Linked DNA regions of Sus scrofa. The protein of the gene in region 3 purifies or fractionates together with the protein of the main gene of each other region. This does not show direct contact. Links are inferred from orthologs where the notes say so. Each region holds a gene or a part of one and is shown on either strand. Other genes may lie near its edges.

Region 1 (3,696 bases), on a different chromosome or scaffold from region 3:
CTCCCACAACAAAGAATTATTCGGCTCAAAATGGCAACAGTGCAGAGGTTGAGAAACCCTGGTCTAGAGAATCGGGGTCAAAAATAGTGAGAAAGAACAGACACAGGAAAATTAAGGAACTGTTAACACTTAAGAGTAGCAAAATTTTCTAAATTTGAAAAATAACTGGAAATAGAAAAGCTCACCAAAGAAAATTCTATTCACCCCCCCCAAAAAAAAAACTAGTTTCTCAGTCGTATGAAGAGTATACACACATGAATGCTTGAGAAGAGGTCCTTACTACTATTTCCTGTATTCGCTGAACTGGCAATATTTACTAACAAATGCCTCTCTGTATGTCAGAATGCGGCCAGATCAAAATCCAGTAGGTCTGATTTGCTGTGGCTCATCTGATGAGCTAGGCCACGAGTCACCAACCAACAAGAGCCACAGGTGTTAAGGTTGACTCAGAAATTTTTTTCACTTCATATACAGCTATAACGTAGGGTTCGATAGTGCCGTGTTGTATAAGCTCTGAAAGATATCAGACGTATGTAATAAAGTCCTACCTGTGACACTGATGTAAAAACACAACAAACTTGAACCCTACCTTCATCCCTGTTCTTTATTTTAAAATTTTTATAAATGAGGATTTTGAAAGTTAATGTCAACATCTCTTAGGATCTCTTTAAATGCTAAGCTATGAGGGTGTTTGTGGAGGGGAAAAAAAAGAGGTCACGGTCATTGTCTGTAAGGAGTGTACAAACTATTAACTAATATATGTAGTTTGATCATTATGGAAACCAATCCATGTAAAGCTGGGGGGCTGAATTATGCAAATTAGTTTTTTACATTGATCAGATTTTAGTAGGTGGAAAAATGTCCACTTGCCTTGTTCGGGGTAGCCCTAACCAGTGGCAGCCCTGGTATCTACTATCCATTTCCCCTACAAATATCCAAATTATCCTGTTATAGCACGATTAGCATACACATGCTGACGTGTTCCTGGATTGCTTACTCTGGCAGAGTTACTTAACTTCTGCTTTGTAACTTCAGTGTTATCAGAAATTCCATAGGAACCTTAGCGTTTTTGAGCCTTCCATTTTGGTTTTTTTTAAATACACAGGTTCCTTCTCCATCCCCCACACTGATCAGAAAACAGGGCAAGTGACACTTTGTGAAAACGATAGATAAAAGAAAGCCACACTCCTCTCTATTCACATTTCTAACCATGTGATTAACCAGATATGAGCCATTTGTACCTAACTTTTCCCTCAAAGTTTTAACTGGATCATTTATTTGCCATTTTTTTCCATGTATGGCTCAAAATCTGTTAGAGTCAGCTTGGTCCTCTGGGAGATGAATTCTCCTGAAGTGGGATGGAGGCAGACCCCCGCTCTTGTTCAGATGGAAAAAGAACCTATTGTTCCCAACACCGTTTTGATGGGACTCTCAGGGAACTGACCTTCCTACCCACAGGGCCTTGGTTGCAAGTATTTGCCTGGGACACTTGCTCTAATCATTGGGAGCTTCAAAGGAAAATGATCTCAGGACAGAGAAACTGGGAAGAATTATAGTACCCCCACCCTGATGCCCAGTCTTTCCCATTCCTCCTTTTTTTGGACCTCATAAAATACAAACAAAACCCCACAAGCTCTAATCTGCCAGACACCACTAAGATCGGGTATCTTGGTGTTTGAAAACCCATGAGTTCCTTCAGCCCAAATCGGGTGTCACTTATTTGCTTCCAGTGATCAACCCACCGAGCAGTTTACGTTTGACGCCTTCTGAGGCCGGGCTTCTTGGGCGTCTGCTCCACTGAAGCCGAGTTCGGGGAACCGTCTGAAACATTTTCTTCTGTTCTGTTGGCTCTTTTGTTTTGAGGAGAGGAATCTAAAGGCAGGAGGGAATTTTAAAAAGAACACACACAAATAATCTTTATTAGAAAAAACAATGGCTGACACAAGTTGGCTCGATACTGAGGGGACAAAAAACCCACCACCTCCACCCACCATCCTGGATCCGTCATTCCCAGTGGCCTTTAAGGGCACAAAATGAGGTTGTTTTCACATAACAGAAAGTGTATTCTACGCCCCAAATCTCTCTCTCTCCAAAGCGAAGAGGGAGGTGGTTGATAAACATCCCAACGTTGTCACATACCTACAGCTGGCTAGCGGGGAGGAGCCGCGATGTTTTCAGTTAGAGAAATTATCAGATAGCACAGTCTCATGCTTCAGACTTAAAAGTCATAAACAGACCAGCAGCTAGCCAAATAGCATTTAAAACCTAAGATGAGGAAGGTGTGTTCCCCAAGAGCTAAGTCAGAATGCGCTGAAAAGAAAGCGGAGGTTTAAGATCCTCAAGCAGGGAAAACAGCACGGCAGACAAACAGAGAGAGGCAGACAAACAGACGTTTCATGCATTCGAAAGGGTCATTACCGTCTGTGGCAGGTCGCTTCCTTATCCCAGTGCACTGCTCCGCTAACCCCGTCTGGCTGTCCGGTGCATCAGTCTTTTGGTCTACCAAATGTGTGTCCTCTGAGTTGGCCTGAGACCCAATTAAAGGCACCGCCTGGCGGGTCCCGCTGACACCCTGGCCCTCCTGCGCCGGCACCTTGCAGGCGCCTTTGGGTGGCCGCGGGGGTCTGTAGTAGAACTCGGGCAAGCTGCCCTTTTCCACCTCCTGCCACTCGTATTTGCCCTCCAGGGGCTTGTGATTCTGAAAATCAAAATTCCACTTGCGCTGGCTGGCCTCTTCCATGTCTCTGCAGTGCTTCTCCAAGTCCCGGGTTAACTCTTCGTGATTGACCGGGCCGAAGAGGTTTCGGCAGGCCGAGGGCTTGGGGTACTCCGCCTGTCTGGCGTCCATCCGCTCCAGGCTCGGGCTCCCGTTAGACACTCTCACGTTTGACATCTTCCTCCCGGGGCTCGGCGACCGCCTCTCTCGCGCTCTCGCAAAACAAAACCGAACAAAACAAAACGCCTCGACCCAGCCCGAGCCCCTCTTATAAGCCCTGCGGCTGCCCTCCGAGCCAAGAGAAACAAACACCGACGAGTAAGCGCCCGAGCGTCAGGAGCGCGCTGGGGCTGGGGGAGGGGGCGAGGGGCAGCCCGGGCCAGGCAGCCCCGAGTCTCCGCCGATCAAGTGTACGGGCGAGCTGGAGGGCGGGGAGGGGAGGGGAGAGGAGCGCAGCGGAGAGAGGAGGGGGCAGAGCCAGTCCGAGTCCCCGCCGCTGCGAGCCCGCGGGTCCCGCCGACCGAGCGGCTCTCCAAACCTTGCCGGCGTCGGAGTCGCGGAGCGGCGAGAAAGTGGGGACAGGGGAGGGGGAGAAAAACACCCCGAAAAGACGAGCCCCCTTTTTTTAGTTGCCCAATATGGCGGTGGAAGGGAGGCTGACGAAGAAGAAGATGATTGACACCGCAAGTCTATTTAAACAGAGGAGGAGATCATTGGTCGCGGCGCCGGGAGCCGCCCAGCCGAGACTGGCGAGCTGGGCCTTAAGGTGGCCCCTGAGCCGCCGCTGCGCCTCCCCGCCTCCCGAGCGCGCCGCCGCCGAGCGCGCGGCCGGGAGCTCGACTGGTCGCGTGACTGCTGGAGGTGCCGGGCTGCCAGCAAACCTGCTCTGGCTGGCCTCGGAGAAATTAAAAATAAGACAAACTCGCCAAAAGGCCGGGGAGCCGGGGAGGGGCCTGGCCGGAGAGGTGGCGGGTTCTGGT
Region 2 (3,747 bases), on a different chromosome or scaffold from region 3:
CTCTACGTTAAACAGGGTGAAATTTAGTTGTACATGACTTTGTCCAGGTGAAATGAGAGCGGTTTCCCAGATAAAAAGACATGAAATATTTTACCAAAGTAACATTTTGCCATTTTTAGTGAATTTTTAAATTAATAATCCAGATCTTAAATTAAGGTTACAGTACAAAGACTTAAAGAGGACTACCTAAATAATTTAGTCATATATAAAAATAAACAGATTCATACACTTTCAAGGCACTGCTGTTCCCTGACAGTATACAGGTACACAGTGCTTTTCTCCATCTCATGACCCTTCCTCCTACCAGTGGCTACAGAGCCACCACACCTTCAAGGCAGGATTTTTTGGTTTCTTTTTTTTTTTTTTTTTTTTAAGAGTTTGGAATCTTGAACGATAACAAACATATAATGACATGATTATAAAACAAGAAACATAATTTATACAATAGATGAGTAATAAAAATCTCAGTTTAGTTTAAAAGATGCCAAATAAGAAGGTTTACAAGAATTTTAAAACAAAACTGAACAGTAATCATGGCTTTCAGAACATAAGGACTCTTTTTTGCGCAGTTATACTGACTTGTCTTCAATGAACGTGAATGAGGAATAATTAAAAACAAAACCTTTCAAGAAATCGCATACATGACAGTAACAAATTCCTCTTAGCTCTCTCAATTTTCCCTTTCGGTTTCTCTTAGTCTATCGATCACATGTGACATTAAGTAAACAGGTCATAAAAGACAGACATTTCATAACAAAACAAAAGAGAAGAGACTAACAGATTTAAAGGAATTTACTGACACTGTAGTTCATCGTAACAGATTGAAAAATTTTAAGAAAGATATAAGAAAAGAAGTGCATTTTAACTCAGCCTAATCACGATTTAAGCCATGATTCAGTATATGAAATAAATATACTATTACAATAAAATGTAAAGCTCCTTCTGTCTATGTTTTAGTGATGCTACTTCAACGCAAGAATAATTTCTTCAGGAAGCTGTTTCTCTTAGCTTTAGGTAGAAAGTACTTACATGTCATTATGGAGCAGATATAAAGCTAGAAGCTGACCATACACTGGAGGTGTAGCAATTCCTCCTGGAGCCTTTAAAGCCAAAAACAAAAGAGAAAAAGCTCATTTATTTGTATACTTTTGTATTTTTCAAAGCATCTAAAAAGTAAGCATATTTCATAGTACTTACCCTTACAGATGGAGAAAAAGAGAGTGTCACACACTAAAAGCCAGAGTGATAAGTTTAGATCTGTCACCAGCTATGAATTATCTCCCTCTGGGCCACTGAGTTTATATATGCACGGGAACATTTCAGTGGGATCCCTTTCCCAGTTCTCAAATTCTTATTTAAATGGCCTTACTGTTACAAGAGTATTTCCCACAGATTCCTCAAGTATGATGATTCTGCCCGTTACACCAGGTATGTTGAAAATCTAGGTAAGTGAGTAACGAAGAGAGAAATGTCACAGCTGAATGACGAAGACGTTTCTCTCCTTGTTCAACTTTATTCAGAAAATCATCTGTTAAGTGTCTATTAGTGAGCTGCTGCTTCTGGCAGTAGTCTCTTTGGGTTAATTAACTTTTTATACTGATACTGTACATGCTTGTAAGTGCCTTTCTAAGAAAATTAAAAAAAAAAAAAAAACCCTTACTGTTAAGACCTTCGTGAAATAATTTCACCAGTCCTAATGAAGCTAAGACGGCAAGCTTCCGCGACATGAGACTAAGGACTTTCCGAGTTAGGAACAGGCTACAACGCGCACACAGACTCCCTCACCTCTCCCCACGACGGGGAGGAAACATCTTTAACCCGAGAAGCATATTGGAGAGTGTTAGGAGCAAAGACGCACAGCATTTTCGGGCTCACTGGCTGAAGACAAAACAACAAAAAGCCCCCAGCAAGTTCGGGGAGGCGAGGCCTGGATGCTCAGCCAGGAGCAGGCCCGGCGTCCCGGGCTCCACACGCCCGGCCCCGCGCCCGCCCCAGCCCGGCGGGCCCTGGGCCTCGGGCCCCGTTACCCTGGAGACCGGCGCCGCACAAGGCCACGCGCGACCCCGAAAGGCGAATGGCTACCTCCAGCTCCTGGTTCTCGCACTGATCCAGCAACTTTTTGAAATTAAAGGCACTTTCCGCCATCACCGCCACTGGCATCTTCCCGGCCGGTCCCGCCGCCGTACCTCCCCTTCTAGCTGGACCCCAGACTTGTCCCTCCGGGCGTCGCGCCCGCGATGACGTAAAAGCCGCCGTCGCCGCCGAGCTCCCGTGCGCAGGCGCATCATCGGTTCCGGCGCGTCATTAGACGTCGCTGCGGCCTGGCGGGGTCGCTGCCGCTCTGGCCCGTGCACTCTATGTCCTGGAGGACTCGCCTGGCGTCTGGGGACGCGGCTTTCGGAGCCAGGGAGGGCGGGGACTGGGGCCGGTCTGCGGACTCTTCGCTGCCTTTACTCTGAGGCCACGGAAATTTTAAAGTTCAAAACCCAGCTTTCGGTTCCTCCCCCCGCCTCCTCCTTCAGCAGCCCTCCCGCTTCGGTGCAGGCGGTGCGGTCCTTCCTGGGGGCTCCCCTCCTGCAGGCCCCCCATCCGAGAGCGGCTGCGCCAGCGTGGACCACCCGACAGGGCCTGAGCTCGGTCCTCTCCGGACCTCACTCCGCCTCCCTCCAGGCTACTCCCGGACAGCCACCGCAGCCAAAATGATGCTTTTTGAAACCTAAGTCGTCTTGTTATTCTTCTGCTCAAATCCCTAACAATCCAGAGTCTTTGGCATCGCTCACAGATCAAATCCCCAGATCCCTCCGACTTGCTCCAGCCATCCTGGCCTCCTCAGTTTTCTGCGCAGTCCTAACGAACGTTGTATGGTGCGTTATTTATTTATACTTTGGTTTGCTGCCCTTGCCTAGGCCGCCCTGCTGCAGGGTCAGCCGCAGGATTTGTGAGCCCAAAGCAAATTGAAAACGCACATCACTAGTTCAAAAAGCAGAAGGGAAATTACCCGTAAAGGCTATAGAATCTAAAGCTTTTCCCTTATTCCGCAGTGTTTCAACTTTTCATAGCATTCTAAAGTTTGCTATTTAATATTCTAAGAAAGGGAAAAAGCAAAAATTTCAATTATTAGCATGCATCTTACCATCTGTCTTTATATTATACGAAGCCAATTTTAAAGGCGAATATAAGTGCATTTAACTCATGTGGAATCACAGAAATCACACAATTGGTAGACGTAACACTTTGTTTGTACTTAAGCTGGGTCTTGCTGAATTCCTATCATTTGGGGTCGACTGGGAATTCTGCATTCATGGGGTATTTTAAACACTGTGGAGGGCAGAAAACGCATACCTCAATCATCTCTTTGAGTGTCTGTCCTCCCTATGGACTTGCCAAACCCATACTCGAAGATAAAATTATTTAGGATTCCAAGACAGTGACGGTTTCACTGATTATTTTTGTAGAATCAACACTTTCCATGTGGAAATGGTTGTGTTTAGTTATGCTTCAGATAGAACATAGAGATAAGAAAAGCACTGCAAAAGTTGCTCAAAGAATTGCCAAAAACCTTAAATAGGAAGGTGTGCAAATAGCTGGTAGAACTCGAGATATTTTGGGGGAATGAAAGCAACACACTTTCATTCGTCCAAAAAAAGAAAAGAAAAGGGACTAAGGGTAAAATGATTCTGAGATCATTCGACAAAGTTTGAGGAACAAGATTTTGAATTTTCAACATGTGATAATGGCTCCCAGCCT
Region 3 (3,670 bases):
AGCATGGCTCAGGGGAAAGACTACAAGCTTCGAATCCACAAAAACATATTTGCGCTCTCCCGTTGCATTTGGAGCCTGTTTAGACAAAACTCCTCAGAGACACAAATCCCAAAGGACATAGGTACGCCGAGCGCCAACACAGAACCCCCTTGCAGTCGAACCACTTGCTTTCCCCGGCTCCTACATCCACCACTGCCTGTCCCCCGTCCCCACACGCCCCTGAATTGAGGGCACGGCCGCCGGGGCTCCCGAGCCCCCAGGGTACACGGTGAGGGCGCCTGCTTCCCGTCTGGCGGCCAAAGGCTCCGGCGCAGCCGGCGAACGGACCCGCCCGGGCCCCAGCCCGCTCCGGGCCGCAGCTCAGGGAAGCGGGAGGTCAACCGGCAGGGGGCCCGATGGTCGGCGAACGTTACCTGCTGCAGGTACTGGTTGAGGGTGATGTGCGCCATGGCCGCGCCTGCAGTGCGGCGGAGCTGCGCGCCCGTCGCCGCCTGCTTGCGTCACTTCCGGGCCGCGGTCCGTCCCGGCCCCGCGCCCCCCGCCCTCCGCGCACCTTGGTTCCGGAGGCAGCCTGTGCGCGGGAACGCGAGCCCCGGGCCGGCATGGCGGCGCGCCCGGGCTGAGGCGGGCTGGGGGCTGCGCTGCGACTCCCCGAACCGCTCGCGAGGCCGCCTCGTCCGCGCCCCAGGTGCCCAGGCCCGCCGGCCGCTCGCCTGCTGCGAGGTTCCACACGGACCGCGGCGGAAGCGGACTGCGGCGCCCGCGAGCTCGGGGCCGGGTCGGGCCGGGTCAGGTCGGGTCGGGGTCCGGCGCGCTCCCGAGGCCTGAGGCGCGCGGTCGGCGTCGGGATCCGGCGGTTGGACCGGGCCGGGCCGGACCGGGGAGCGCAGCCGGGGGAGCGGACAGGCGGGCGCGGGCGGAGGCCCGGGCGGGGCGCTGCGGCCGCGGCCATGGCCGACGAGACCCCCAGGAAGGGCAGCTTCTCGGCGCTCGTCGGGCACACCAACGGCCTCACCAAGCCCGCGTCCCTCGCCGCCGCCGCCGTCACCTCCAAGCCCGGGGGCAGCGGCGGCTCCAAGAAGCTCGTGATCAAGAATTTCCGAGGTGGGTGCGGGGCCGCGGCGGGGCGGGCGGGGGTCGCTTTCCCTCCGCGGCTGTGTCGTCGGGACGGAGGGTTCGGCTGGAGTTAAGTTCGGCCAAGCAGCGCAGGTGTCGTGGTTGGCGAGGCCGAGCCAGAACGAGTGGCAGCCCCTGAAGCGCTGGGTGATGTCGCTTAATTTAATTACTTTCTCCGCTGTCACTGTCGTTATCTGGGAGCAAGCGTCTTCGTCCCACACAGACCTCCCTCCCGACGTTGAGTAATTTAACTCAACTTTAAATCTGGTCGGGGCTTAACTATTCCATGTTTGTTTATTTGTAACGTCTCCTTACTTAGAAGACTACATGTGTGTGTCCTAAGTATCAACACTGCAAGTATTTACCCAGCAAAAGAGAGACATTGTGGTCACATAGTCTCTAAGCCAAGGAAGGTGTAAACACAGTGCTTCCTTTGGGGAAGAGCTACTGCCCGTATTCGTCACCTAGGTGTCTTTGAGTCCTTTTTTGTAGAGTTTTTTTTTAAGGTGTGTGACTCTTGGCATGATGCCCTTCCCCACTCACTGTCTCTGGATTTACAGACAGACCGAAGTTGCCTGATAACTACACTCAGGACACCTGGCACAAGCTTCACGAGGCGGTGAAAGCCATACAGAGTAGTACCTCCATCAGATACAACCTGGAAGAGCTCTACCAGGTAAGACTCCACCTTTGCAAACAGCGGGGCTCCTTAGGATTCTCACCTAATTTCTTCAGGGAGAACGTCCAGGCCTGGGGGCCAGCATCTTGTTTTTCACTTACCGTTTTTTGCAGCTGTCCAAACCACACGGTTGTGCACTTCCACGAAATGTGACACGGGTGCGGATTCCGTGGGCCTCAGTATTGTCTCAGCGAAGGAAATACTAGAAATCCAAGTACAGGCCTCCGGCAGAAACAGTGGGAGTTCTGCGAGAGGACGTCCCCAGGGTCAAGGAGGATTTTCGGGTTTTGGCGCTTGTGGGATTTTTATTTTCTTTTCAGGCTTCAACTGTCTAGAAAGGCATTTAAAGTTAATTCATCACAGGAAAGCCATATGTTTCTGTGAGCCATGCGACTCTGTTTTCCAAATATGCAGCAAATGTTATTAAAATTCCAAGTTACGTTATATATAAAATTCTCATGACAGTTTCACTTGTAGATTTTCCCTGTCTTCATTGTACTTTGTGATTAATTATTGCGGTTAAAATGTGCAAACAGGTTTTGTTTCATTTGATTTAAATTAATGATGTTCTTGTTCTAACATAAGAAAAAATGGTCGAAAGTATGTTTCACGGTTGGATATTCCACTTACAAGCAGACTGGTTTTTCTTTTCTGGTATCTTAAAGACTAACAATTTGTCAGCTGGGCCTAATATCACCCACGTTTTAGGTAATGACAGTACAATTTCTATTAGGAGACTTGGATTTTAAGTTTTTTCTTTTTCTGTAAGTGATTACATTGTAAAATTATGGAAACTATAAAAAATACAAGGAAAACAATTGAAAACCAACAAAATTAGAAACCGTTGTTGTGCAGCGGAAGCAGATCTGACTAGGAACCATGAGGTTGTGGGTTCGACCCCTGGCCTCGCCCAGTGAGTTAAGGATCCGGCGTTGCTGTGAGCTGTGGTGTAGGTTGCAGATACAGCTTGGATCTGGTGTTGCTGTGGTTGTGGTGTAGACCGGCAGCTGCAGCTCTAATTTGACCCCTAGCCTGGAAACTCAAGTATGTCCCACGTGCAGCCCTAAAAAGCAAAAAAAAAAAAAAAAAAAAAAAAAATCACCTATTCTCCCACCACCCAAAGAAAACGTTGACAATTTGAGGGACATATGTCCCTTCTTTGTCACAAGTTTGTGTGAATTTATTGTATTTTTTTTAAACTCTTTGAATTTTATTGTATTTATAGTTGTATAACCATCCTTAGAGTTTTTGGTGTTTTAATCACCTTTAATAAGGTAGAAATATGTAGTTTGTTAAGTTTTAGCAGGTGTACCCCACAGTCTAACCAGCAGCACACTGGGGACCACAGTGGGTGTTTCCATCATCCAGAGTTCCCTGAGGCCCCCTTGAATTCAGCATCTCCCTCACCCCAGTCCCTGACCTCACCGCCCTCCCTCACCCCCGTCCCTGACCTCACCGCCCTCCCTCACCCCCGTCCCTGACCTCACCGCCCTCCCTCACCCCCGTCCCTGACCTCACCGCCCTCCCTCACCCCCGTCCCTGACCTCACCGCCCTCCCTCACCCCCGTCCCTGACCTCACCGCCCTCCCTCACCCCCGTCCCTGACCTCACCGCCCTCCCTCACCCCCGTCCCTGACCTCACCGCCCTCCCTCACCCCCGTCCCTGACCTCACCGCCCTCCCTCACCCCCGTCCCTGACCTCACCGCCCTCCCTCACCCCCGTCCCTGACCTCACCGCCCTCCCTCACCCCCGTCCCTGACCTCACCGCCCTCCCTCACCCCCGTCCCTGACCTCACCGCCCTCCCTCACCCCTGTCCCTGACCTCACTGCCCTCCCTCACCCCAGTCCCTGACCTCACTGATTTGCTTTCTACC

The links. Proteins that work in one complex are often made in the same cells at the same time.
Region 1: the proteins of CUL4A (region 3) and CDKN1B purify together in Homo sapiens (affinity purification with western blotting; 5 studies listed by BioGRID, with this or other methods). This does not show direct contact. The link is inferred for Sus scrofa from reciprocal best matches to the Homo sapiens genes CUL4A and CDKN1B.
Region 2: the proteins of CUL4A (region 3) and COPS8 purify together in Homo sapiens (affinity purification with mass spectrometry; 10 studies listed by BioGRID and IntAct, counting the BioPlex papers as one, with this or other methods). This does not show direct contact. The link is inferred for Sus scrofa from reciprocal best matches to the Homo sapiens genes CUL4A and COPS8.

The regions. Positions count from the first base shown.
Region 1 is NC_010447.5:59,732,897-59,736,592, forward strand, and holds the start of CDKN1B (cyclin-dependent kinase inhibitor 1B), read right to left. Parts: upstream 2,936-3,696; 5' UTR 2,894-2,935; coding exon 2,419-2,893; intron 1,873-2,418; coding exon 1,751-1,872; 3' UTR 1,743-1,750; intron 1-1,742. UniProt on the Homo sapiens protein: Important regulator of cell cycle progression. Inhibits the kinase activity of CDK2 bound to cyclin A, but has little inhibitory activity on CDK2 bound to SPDYA. Involved in G1 arrest. Potent inhibitor of cyclin E- and cyclin A-CDK2 complexes.
Region 2 is NC_010457.5:136,826,776-136,830,522, reverse strand, and holds the start of COPS8 (COP9 signalosome complex subunit 8), read right to left. Parts: upstream 2,302-3,747; 5' UTR 2,161-2,301; coding exon 2,083-2,160; intron 1,101-2,082; coding exon 1,030-1,100; intron 1-1,029. UniProt on the Homo sapiens protein: Component of the COP9 signalosome complex (CSN), a complex involved in various cellular and developmental processes.
Region 3 is NC_010453.5:78,556,262-78,559,931, forward strand, and holds the start of CUL4A (cullin-4A), read left to right. Parts: upstream 1-768; 5' UTR 769-950; coding exon 951-1,104; intron 1,105-1,676; coding exon 1,677-1,792; intron 1,793-3,670. Other genes in the region: PCID2 (PCI domain-containing protein 2), read right to left, coding at 414-449. UniProt on the Homo sapiens protein: Core component of multiple cullin-RING-based E3 ubiquitin-protein ligase complexes which mediate the ubiquitination of target proteins. As a scaffold protein may contribute to catalysis through positioning of the substrate and the ubiquitin-conjugating enzyme.